3 linked regions of the Coturnix japonica genome follow. The protein of the gene in region 3 purifies or fractionates together with the protein of the main gene of each other region. This does not show direct contact. Links are inferred from orthologs where the notes say so. Each region holds a gene or a part of one and is shown on either strand. Other genes may lie near its edges. The genes, in order: PREB, MIA3 and MIA2.

Region 1 (4,183 bases), on a different chromosome or scaffold from region 3:
GAGCGGGGGGCATGGGAGGTGGGAGGGGGCAGCAGGGTCCTGGCAGGGCCTTGAACCCCCTCCATCCATCCGTCCATCCCCAGCGTTTGGCTATGGGCTGCTGTGCCTGGGGATGGCCTACGTGTCCTCCATGCTGGGCCCTGTGCTGCAGGTAGGTGATGGGGTGCTGGGGTCATCCCCGGCCTCGCAGTCCCTATTTCCCCCATTCGACCCCAAAATGGTACCATCTCCCCGCAGGCGGCCATCAGTATCTTCGGCATGGTGGGGGGGCCGCTGCTGGGGCTCTTCTGCCTGGGGATGTTCTTCCCCTGTGCCAACCCCACAGTGAGTACCCCTGACACCTCCCCCCCACCACAGCCACCCTGTCCGGTGCCACCAAGTGTCTGAGTGCCTGTCCCCCCACAGGGTGCGGTGGTGGGGCTGCTGGCCGGGCTGGCCATGGCCTTCTGGGTGGGCATCGGCAGCCTGGTGGCCAGCGCTGGGGGCGCCGCCCCTATGGCCAACAGCACCGTGCCCCTCCCCATCAACGTGACCACACCAGCCGTACTCACCACCACGCTGCTCACCCCCACGACGCCCCCCCCGAGGTGAGCACCTTGGGGCTGATGGGGGTGGTCTGTGAGGGTCTGACTTGCACCCCCCCGTCACCACCTATACCCCCCCCAGCCCCACAGGCCTGCAGAAGTTCTACCGCCTCTCGTACATGTGGTACAGCGCCCACAACTCCACCACCGTCATCGCGGTGGGGCTCCTGGTCAGCCTGCTCACCGGTGGGTGCCGGATGTGGGGCCGGGTGCTCCTCCCCCCCCAGCATCCCTCTCACCCCTATGACCCTCCAGGCCCCACACCGCCCTCTGCCGTGGATCCCCGCACCATTTTCCCGGTGCTGCCGCGGCTGCTGCGCTGTCTGCCCGCCCGTTACCGGCAGCGGCTGTGCTGCGGGGTGCGCTTCCCCACGCAGGTGAGCGGCTCGCAGCGGGACGGGGGGCAGCGGGTTGTGGGGCGGGAGGTGTCTGTGCATAACCCTACCGCCCCCCATCGCCACGTGCCCGCAGGACGCCCCCCAGCCGTCACCCGCAGCCGAGAAGCGCGTTCCCAACGGGCTGGGAGCTGCGCCACGGGACGACACGGAGGAGCGGGGCTACGGGCCGCCCGCATACACGGTGCAGGAGACGGCGTTCTGAGCGGGACGAGGGACCCCCGGGGCCGGTGCTGCCTGGGGGGGGGCGCGGGTGGGAGCACGATGCGGAGCGGTGCCGTGCTGTTCTCTCTCCCTACCTGCACCTCAATAAACCGTTATGGACAGCGACGGGTCCGGCGGGGCTGGGGGGGTGAGGGACCCACGGGGCTGCGGCATCGTGCGGTACGTGGGGCCGCGGGGCACGCGTGGGGCTGGTACCGAGCAGGGGGCGGGGCCGTGGGTCCAGGGGGCGGGGCTTGATGTGCGGAAGCGGCGGCGATCGGTGGGCGGTACCGGCGGGGTGCGGGGCGGGGCTGCGCTGTGCGGGGCGGTACCGGCGCTGTGCGGGGCGGGGCTGCGCTGCGCGGGGCGCTGACGCGTCGCGCCGTTCCCGCAATGGCGCCGCGCCCGACCGAGCTGTACCGGGCGCCGTTCCCTCTCTACACCGTCCGGCTGCACCCGCGCCGCGGACTCGCCATCACCGCTGGAGGCGGAGGAGCGGCCAAGACCGGGATCGGCAATGGAGTGGTGCGGTGCGGGGTTTAGGGCCGGGGGGTGAACGAGCGCGGGGCTCCCGGTTTCGGTGCTGAGCGGCGCGGTCCCGCAGCACTTCCTGCGGCTGGAGCAGATCGGGGGGCGGCTGAGCGCGTCGCTGCTGCACTGCCACGACACCGAGACCCGCGCCACCATGAGCATGGCCATCAGCGGGGACTTCATCGCGGCGGGGCAGGACCACAGCTGCCACATCCTGCGGCTCTGCGTGCCAACGGCCGGCAAGGGAGGCGGCGACGGTGAGCGGGGCCGCGGGGCGACGGGGCCGGTGTGCGGGCTGCGGGGTGGGCATTACCTGCGGGGTGGGCATTACCTGCGGGGCGCTCACACGGCCGGTCTCCGTCCCCGCAGCCGCGGAGGAGAAAGGGCCGCGCAGGAGGAAGGGAGGAACCGGCCCCGCGGAGCGCGGCGAGACGCGGAGCGACGGCGGGGAGGTGTCGGTGGAGAGTCTGCACCGCGTGCGCACCGACTTCAGCCCCGACGCGCTGCAGAAGGCCGTGCGCTTCAGCGCCGACGGCACCGTGCTCGTCACCGGAGGCGCCGACGGATTCGTGCGGCTCTGGGAGGTGGGAGCGGAGCGGGAGGGGCCGGGAGGGGTCGCCTGTCGGGGATCCGCTGACGGCCGCCGCAGTTCCCCAGCATGAAGAAGGCGCTGGAGTTCAAGGCGCACGACGGGGAGATCGAGGACATCACGCTGGGCCCCGACAATAAGGTGGGTGGGGGGCGAGGGCCGGGGGACCCCTAATGAGCGGCAGAACGAGCCGCAGCCGGCGTGTGCCCGGCAGGTGGTGACGGCCGGACGGGACCTGCAGTGCCGAGTGTGGCAGCGGGACCAGCTGGTGACCGGGCTGCAATGGAACGAGAACCTGCCCGGCGTCCCTGGCACCGCGTACCGCTACCAGGCCTGCCGGTGGGTGCGGGGCTGGGCCGTGCTGTAGGACAGCGGTGGTGACCCCATGGGGCCGCCCCCCGGCAGCACGGGCTCAGCTCCCCTTTGCTACCCCGTACCAGCTTTGGGGCGGTGGAGGACAACTGCGGGGCGCTGCGGCTCTACACGGTGCAGGTGCCCCACAAGCGGGAGCGCCGCCCCCCACCCTGCTACCTGACCAAGTGGGACGGGGGCACCTTCCTGCCGCTGCTGACACGGCCCTGCGGCTCCGAGGTCATCTCCTGCCTCTCCGTCAGGTAAGTGAGGAGGTTCCCCACCGCCCCCATCCGCTCCCAGCCCTGCTCACCGCCCCCCTCCCCACAGTGATTCAGGCACCTTCCTGGGGCTGGGCACCGTCACCGGCTCCGTCGCTGTGCACATCGCATTCTCGCTGCAGGTGAGTGTGGCACAGGGAGGGTACAGTGGGCAACGGGGCAACCCTCACCTCATGTGTGTCCCCCTTCAGAGGCTGTACTACGTGAAGGAGGCACATGGCATCGTCGTCACGGACGTGGCCTTCGTGCCTGAGAGCGAGCAAGGACGGGAGCTGCTGGCGGGGAACGAGGCAGCACTGCTCAGTGTGGCCGTGGACAGCCGCTGCAAGCTGCACCTGCTGCCTGCCCGCAGTATGTGTGTGGGGCTGTGGGGCCGGGACACCCTGCAGGACCCCACCTCTCAGCCTCCTTTCTCCCCCCACCCCCAGGGTCGCTGCCCATCTGGCTGTTGCTGCTGCTGTGTGCCGCACTCATCGTGGGCAGCATCGTGCTGCTGCAGATTGCCTTCCCTGGCTTCCTCTAGGCACCCACCCTGCTGTATTGGGGGATGGATGGACCCAGCTATGGGAGTGGGACCGCCCTGGGATACAGTGCCAGCAAGGCAATGGAATGCAGCATGCCAGTAGCTGGGCTGGAGCTGCTCCTTGTCCCCACCATTAAACCCAGAGTGTGAAGGTGTTGTCTGTGCTGAGGCTGTAAGGGTCTGCCAGCCTCCCTGTCCTCCATGCCCCCCTGCTGGGGTGGGAAAGGGATAGGAGTGGGGCCGTAGGGGTGGGAGAGGGCTCAGTGAGGACGGGAACGGGTTTATTGGGACTTGGAGGGGGTTCAAGGGGGGCAGCAGGCGCTGACCTCCTCCACAGCCCCCTCATCCTGCAGCCCCTGCAGCTCCTCCCCGTGCTGGAACACGGCAGTGACAAACTGCAGGAAGAGGCGCTCCATGAGACCACCGTGCCACGGCAGCAGCCCCTCCAGGAACCCGATGTGGCCTCCACACGACGTCACCAGCAGTGCTACGTGGGGCAGGTGCCAGGCGGCCGCCACGGGGATGGCTGCGAGGGGACACGCGGGTCAGCTGCCGGCCCTACAACACCATAGGGCTGGGCACGGCCCCACTCACCGTGCATGGGGGAGAAGGGGTCATCGGCGGCGTTGAGGCACAGCGTGGGCACACGGATGTTCTGCAGGCTGCTGGCAGGGCTGGCGGCACGGTAATACTCCGTGCAGGAGCTGTACCCGAAGGCAGGAGCG
Region 2 (3,115 bases), on a different chromosome or scaffold from region 3:
TCAAATAAAGTAGTGACAGGAGGACATAAGATAGAACATGACACAATTAAAGCAGCAGCAGGAAGTACAGTGAATTGTGGATTAGAAACGTTTCCTGAAGGTTGTTTCCTTCTCAGCTTACCGCCCTGTCCTTTGCTGTGGCAGGAGAGGAGGTTCTCGGCCCAGCGCTGATCAGAGATGCTACAGCAGGCCCAAGATCTGCAGAGAGAGCCACAAAGGCAGGTCTTAGTCATGCTTTGGGAAAAGGAATGTGGTTCTTCAAGATCCATTGCTGATGTGAAAGATTAAGTGAGTACACTGTGCAATTGGTGGCAGGTCATATAACTTACCAGGAACAGACATCCTTCCAGGGAGCTCTGGTTGCCTCCGTGGAACGGGGGGGCCATCTACCACTGTACCTTAAGAGAAACAACACCAGAGATTCTAATCAACACATGCTTGAGCTACTTCAAAATAAATCCATCTGTGTATTAACAGAGCAGATATCAATACTTACACAACCCCTAGAACCAAAATCAGACCTTAGCATTCTTGGGCTTGCAGTGTGTAAGGTGCACAAGACAGGAAGGAACACTCTCTGCTTACCAAATTCAGCTCTTGAGCCTTCCCTCTGAGGAGCAGAAAGGGGCCTACTGGGAACTTCCATCATCTGTGTGGGTGACGGATTTCCTCCACTCACAGGTGATGGACCAAAAGAACCATCTCTACTTAAGGGCACTGCAGCAAGAAAAATCAACGAAGGAAAGTAAATCACATTGGTTTTGTTACTATATCACAGCCTTTGGGGTTTTGGATTATTTTTTTAAGAACAGACTGATTTTAAGACCACAGCTTTGGGAGAAACAGGAGCACTCACCTCGGCGTGGTGGGACTTGGCGATCAGGTCTGCCTGGAGTTGGCTTTACAATGAGCGGTCTTTGAAGCATGATGATTTTTTGGTTCACCTCCATTAATCTAAATTCAACAGATAGTAACTTAAATATAGGTATATATATACACACATGTATATACATGTATGTCTATACACTATACATATAACATAATAATACATACATGAGAGTTGTATTTGTTGTATTGTTGTATTACAAGTAACAGTATCACAGAAACTACTTTGTAACATGTTTGAGCTTTTACCCAGAAATCCTATTTTAACCATCAAAACAAGCTCAAAGCTTAAAGTTGTTATTCATTTGTGCACCACAGAGATTTGATCTCCAAAGAGATCAAACCAACCTCTCCATCTCCCACATACAGAAACAGGCTGACCGTGCACCTTGCAGAATTTAAGCTCCTCCTTGCCTAACAACATGATCCCAGAGCAATGAAAGCAGCTTGTACTGTACTCACTTCTGTCTCAGGTTGGCTGCTTCTCTCTTCTCTTCAGCCAGAGCTCTCTCAGCAGAACGGGCAATAAGCTGTCAGGGAAAGTTTTGCCAGCTGCATTAACTGCATCAGCCAGAAGCCAAATACAAGATGTTCGTATCAAAAAGGGAAGAACGCTCTTACCCAGTTGTCGTGCGCTTTTTTCTCATGAGCAGCAATCTTGAGAAGAGAAGAAAAGAAGTATGTTAATTCTTTTCTTCTGACAACTTGATTTGCTAGAACTCATTACAGAGTATTAGAATGATGCAGAAAGTAGCAGACAATTCACCTGGTTTTTGTAAGATCTCTCTGTTTTCTGCAATTCCTCTTCCATATCTTGAATCCTCTGCCTTTATGAAAAGAAAAACAAAAAAAAAAGGGGGGGGGGGGGGGGGGGGGGGGGGAAGAGGGAAAAGAGAGTAATTAAATGATTTTTCCTCAGTAGCTGAAATAAAGAGAAACAACAGCCTTCAGGAAACCAAAGTTACTTGTAAACTTTCACTTCCTCGATAGCCAGCACGGCCTTTTCATCTGCAGCAGACAGCTTCTGCTCCTTCTCCTGGCGCTCATACTCTTCTTGTGTTAGCTTTCTACACAAGGAAAAACAAACAGATTAAAAAATGTACTTCACCCATTCTACCCATCCTCTATCTCTTACGTGATAACTTTTCACACCCTCTTTAACCTTATTCTTCACTAACTGTACTGTTTTTGACATTTCTCTGCATGTACTGAGGAGGCTCCTAATGTCTTCCTCTCTTACAACCGCCTCGCCATCAGAACCTCAGTCTTACATCATCTAACTGAAAACATCCCTGAATCTTACCTAATATTTTCCACGCTAAACTGAGATTGTATTACAGACATCTCAGTAAGAAAAGAAAGTAATCCAAGAATGATACATGCATCTGTATTCATAAGTAGTTCTTCAGTGCTAGTGATTCATCCACCTCAGCCATCAACATGCACTCAAACAATTTAGCAATCTCATGGAAGAGTAATTGCAGGCTTACTTCTGGAGCGCCATTTCTTTCTGCTGGTACAGTTCACCGAGGATCTCCACTTTTTGCTGTAGTGTTTTACATTCATTTTCCAGCCGAGCTTTGGCTGATTGCAGTGAGGAGGAGTCGTGTTCTAATTTTTTTATTTGCTCTGTTGGAGAAGCAGAGGTAAGTGAGGAATTTGCAACTGGAACTGTTACACAACTTAAGTGTTCTGGTTGTTTCTAAATCGCAAACAGCATTTCATTCAAAGCCATTGTTTTACTAAGTCTACCCACCCTCCAGCTCATGTCTCGCTGCTACTTCATCACTCAGCTTGGACTGCAGAGAATTTCTGTCTTCTTCGACTAGAGATAACATAGTTTTTACCTGGAAAAAAAAGGATCAGCAGAAAGTTTACAATCTCGGGCATAGCAGTAATGTAACTGTATTTATTCATCATCTTGTGTAGCATACCCTGGAGGCATCCATCATCTGTTTAATCTGAGTCTTCATCTTCTCATTATCTAGAAGAGAAAAATGCATTTGTTTTCACTGTTTCTTAATCCCAATTCCCTGAACTCTACAGCTGTTAAAAATAACATTCCCCACCTTTCAATGTGGGATCGGTCCAAAGGAAAAAAGACAGGGAGTTGTGTAGGAAATGCAACAAAACACAACAGCAGCTCACTGCCCAGCACAAGAGAACTGGCAGAATTACTCCAAAAGGCTCTCCAGAAGATTGCTCCTGGCAGCTTTTCTTTCTAGCCACC
Region 3 (3,648 bases):
AGTTTCACCTCTCAGGTTTTAATTAGTTTTCAGCAGTGATTATGCTCCTAACATCTCAAAATTAACTCACAAGACAGTGAATACTGCGATAAAAGTCCACACACAATTTTTATAGCTTGGACTGCACAATGCAATACGTTACTGAGTATTACAGACATTTTTTTCCATATTTTTAAAAATATATTGTAAATCAAGTTTCTGCTTAGCTACTTACGCTAAGATTAGAATTATCTTTCATCTCATTTCCACTTGGTTCTGTCAGTGGGCTATTTTCTGAAGACGTCTGCCCATCTGTATGCAGAAGTTAAACAAGTTACTCAATGCTGATCCCAACCAGTTTCTTTTCTTATATCAGAAGATACAGGCAAGAAAATTAAACATACTGCCATGCCAAGCAACGACTCTGTGAGCAGACAGAAAGACAACCAAGGAACACAAAAGCTACACTTCAGCATTTTCACCAGCCTGAATATTTGTTCCTCGACACTCAAGCTGCATAAAACTTTCTATTTTAAATCCTCGTTAAGCTGCTCTCAAACTCTATCAAACTTTAGCCCTTCTGACAAGTTTCTTGCTCTTCAGATATCTGACTTAAGCTAAAGTTTTGGTGTTACGCATCTCATCTTAGGAAAAGGCATAAGGGCACTATGGTTAGGCTGCGGTTGAACTTGATGGTCTTCAAGGTCTTTTCCAACCCAGGTAATTCTATGATTCTCTGATTCTATGTTAGCTTGCTGAGTATTTGTAGTCAATTCACCTTAGAGTTGGAGCCTGGACTCCACTACTGTGAGATGTTGCTCTTCTGAGATAAGATGCTGATGGGTGTATTTTTACAAATGCCTAAGTCTGGTGAAATTATATGCCTTGAAAAAGCAACATTCACAAGCTTAATGAGCTGCTAGATGTTGGCAGCAACATTATCCAAATGTTATCTGCTGTTTCTATTAAGTAGGCTACAAACTGCCCAAGAACCATGTACTCAGAAGAGGATGTTATTGCTAATTCCTCCCATGGCTTCATACAGTCCTCCTACACTGAGATTCTCCAGTTGCTCGAACCACAGGAGCCAGGTAAAGCAGTTCCCACCTGTCTTATCAAAAGACTGCATATTGTAAGTCCGCAGCTCTGCTGGACCAGAAAGTCTTCCAGTATTTGGAGGGAAGAATCTTTCTTGTCTTCGAGGAGGAAGAACTGAATCAGTATAAGGCTCACCTGTCATTGGGGAAAAAGAAAATATCACCAAACAGGTCTGTGTTTCATACAATTTTACACCAGCAAAATCCTCTGGCTATCTTATGCTCTTGGAAATAGTCAAAGTGACTGTTAATCAGGGTGGGAAAACAATCTTTCCTTCAGTAACGAAGGCCAATATAAAAATAGACCACCGTTTATTTTAAATCACACTAATCTAAGAGTGACATTTCCCATTACAGTTCATTGCGTTCTCTAACACATTTCCAATTTACTTGCACTGAATTGAGCTATTACGGAGCTACAAGGCAAACTGCAGCAGAGAGATTCAGAGGTGGGTATGAACACAGTTCTGGACAGGAAAACAGGACTACCGCTGCAATGTCCTGGAAGTAGCTGAGATCTGGCAAATAGGAAAGTTCACCTTGAATGAACTTTGAGTTTCATGATCAGGCTCATATGCAGCTGAGGAGGCTTATATGCAACCATAATATCTTGCTGCAACTGACAGTTGTTCTATAGCTTTATTTTAAATGCTGGTTTTTAAAATTGTAGTATCTTTGTTTCTTTAATACAGACACAAAATACTTAAATATATACACCATAAGTCAGTAATTCCATTCTTCCAGTAGTCAAGCAAATTTCTGTACCTGATGGAGGCAGAATGATCCTGCGTTCTCTGTCCCAGGGAGGAGACAGGGATCCAGTATCTGATGGTGGTCTGTGGGGATCAGTTAATCTATCAGAACTCATGTCTCCTCGTTCATTACTGGCTTCGTACATAACAGTAGATCCTGGTCCTCTAGATCCTAATTGAAGAAATCAGAGAGCTATTTACTCAGGTTTTTAAAACCTCCATTATGTCTTTCTTCATTAAGACTGAAAACAACGGAATGCATCACAAAATGCCAACACTTTCAAGATACGAGAGGAGCAAAGGTCCACAGGAATCTCCAGCTGTTTGCTGATGGTGATTTACAAGGAGCCTTTTAAGGTTTGTTTGGAAGGAAAATATATTCGTTCAAGAGAACTGCACTCTACAGTACCTGATCGTTTTAAAATCATTTTTAAGAGTACTTGTTAATGCAGAGAAACTACCGCCTTCATGGTGAAGGTTATTGTTAGCACTACAGTAATGGCCACTAGCAAAACCTCATTGAGTTAAAAATTATCACTCAAAGTTAATATCCTCATTCAAAATATCTATTCATACTATATTCAAAACTATTCTCATCCTCTCTATTGTAAGAAAGAAAATAATAGAAAAGACCTGGTCAACATATAAGTAAGTGGAAGAGAAATTGTGACTTCAGGTGTATGCTTTCCTTTCAGGTAAGACTCGGTCTGAAGATTGACAGAATACATAATTCTGGCATCCTCCTCTATTCCAAAATTCAACCTAGAATTCAAAGCCATTTTCTACCTTGCACAAAGTGAGACGAGCACTATAATTACTCTGCAGTTACATCAACTACACACATCATTTGTTTAATCTATCCAAGTTATATTAAGTGTTGTATTGCAAAATGAAGCAGAGTCATGCCTTTGCATAGTTACCTTCCCTACTATGACTCCACTTTGAAATCCACTTTTCACTCTTACTCACCAGTAAGAGCTGAGCTACAATTTAAAGATTTGCATGACATCGAAATTTCAATACTTATTGCCCCTATTCAAGGAGAAGTTGCCAAGCCTGTAATTCTTCTTGTTTGTGGTACAGCTATGGTGGAACATTCAACCTCAGCTTTTTTTCCCCTCTCTCAGAACATGAATCAACTTTCAGATGGAGCCAGGTATATTATTTACAGAGAATTAAAGTACACAAGCAGACAATACTATTTTTTAAAAATCAATGTTGATTATTGAAATATAAATATTTTTATATATTTTATAAATATTTTGACATATTTCCCATTAAGTACAGTTGCCAACAGATTTTGCAGCAGTACTAAGTTATATTAGTAGCTTCTTCATTACCTGTAACAGATGCTAAACTCCATACTAGAACTCACCCACGCTGTTTCCATTAAAGCATCAAACATGAAGGAGTCATGATTCCTTCCCTTACGACCTATGACAGCACGGCTTTCCTTTAACTACTCCTCAACTCCTTCTCCTTATACACAGCCTTCCTGTTCTCTTTCAGCACTAGGAATAAGACTATCCCCGCATACAATGACTGCCTCAAACTTCAAAACTAAAGGGAGAGAAGCACTTCACTGAATCAGTAACTTCCTACAGAACCATTTTTCATGATTCTCAGTACAATGTTGAGAATGAAGATACCTCCACTTTCCTTCTCTCTCTTTAAATGAATGAAATGGAAGCGTCTGTATTTTTCCTTCAGAAATCTAATTGACTCATTTAACTTAACATCAGAAATTATTTCAGCAGAACTGCATTTGTCCAAGAAATAGGACCAAGTTTGGTTCTTTTCTCAACTTGTTGAATTGAATC

What was found.
Region 1: the proteins of MIA2 (region 3) and PREB purify together in Homo sapiens (affinity purification with western blotting; 3 studies listed by BioGRID and IntAct, with this or other methods). This does not show direct contact. The link is inferred for Coturnix japonica from reciprocal best matches to the Homo sapiens genes MIA2 and PREB.
Region 2: the proteins of MIA2 (region 3) and MIA3 purify together in Homo sapiens (affinity purification with western blotting; 6 studies listed by BioGRID and IntAct, counting the BioPlex papers as one, with this or other methods). This does not show direct contact. The link is inferred for Coturnix japonica from reciprocal best matches to the Homo sapiens genes MIA2 and MIA3.

What each region holds. Positions count from the first base shown.
Region 1 is NC_029518.1:95,350,472-95,354,654, forward strand, and holds PREB (prolactin regulatory element-binding protein), read left to right. Parts: upstream 1-1,513; 5' UTR 1,514-1,576; coding exon 1,577-1,708; intron 1,709-1,787; coding exon 1,788-1,971; intron 1,972-2,083; coding exon 2,084-2,298; intron 2,299-2,363; coding exon 2,364-2,444; intron 2,445-2,517; coding exon 2,518-2,642; intron 2,643-2,743; coding exon 2,744-2,917; intron 2,918-2,984; coding exon 2,985-3,057; intron 3,058-3,126; coding exon 3,127-3,286; intron 3,287-3,363; coding exon 3,364-3,458; 3' UTR 3,459-3,609; downstream 3,610-4,183. Other genes in the region: SLC5A6 (sodium-dependent multivitamin transporter), read left to right, coding at 84-151, 238-324, 406-587, 667-770, 840-961, 1,056-1,184.
Region 2 is NC_029518.1:15,697,180-15,700,294, forward strand, and holds part of MIA3 (transport and Golgi organization protein 1 homolog), read right to left. Parts: intron 2,870-3,115; coding exon 2,820-2,869; intron 2,733-2,819; coding exon 2,642-2,732; intron 2,515-2,641; coding exon 2,376-2,514; intron 1,953-2,375; coding exon 1,851-1,952; intron 1,713-1,850; coding exon 1,652-1,712; intron 1,543-1,651; coding exon 1,507-1,542; intron 1,416-1,506; coding exon 1,348-1,415; intron 955-1,347; coding exon 857-954; intron 718-856; coding exon 586-717; intron 399-585; coding exon 330-398; intron 199-329; coding exon 122-198; intron 1-121.
Region 3 is NC_029520.1:34,149,912-34,153,559, reverse strand, and holds part of MIA2 (melanoma inhibitory activity protein 2), read right to left. Parts: intron 2,001-3,648; coding exon 1,842-2,000; intron 1,213-1,841; coding exon 1,087-1,212; intron 292-1,086; coding exon 215-291; intron 1-214. UniProt on the Homo sapiens protein: Plays a role in the transport of cargos that are too large to fit into COPII-coated vesicles and require specific mechanisms to be incorporated into membrane-bound carriers and exported from the endoplasmic reticulum.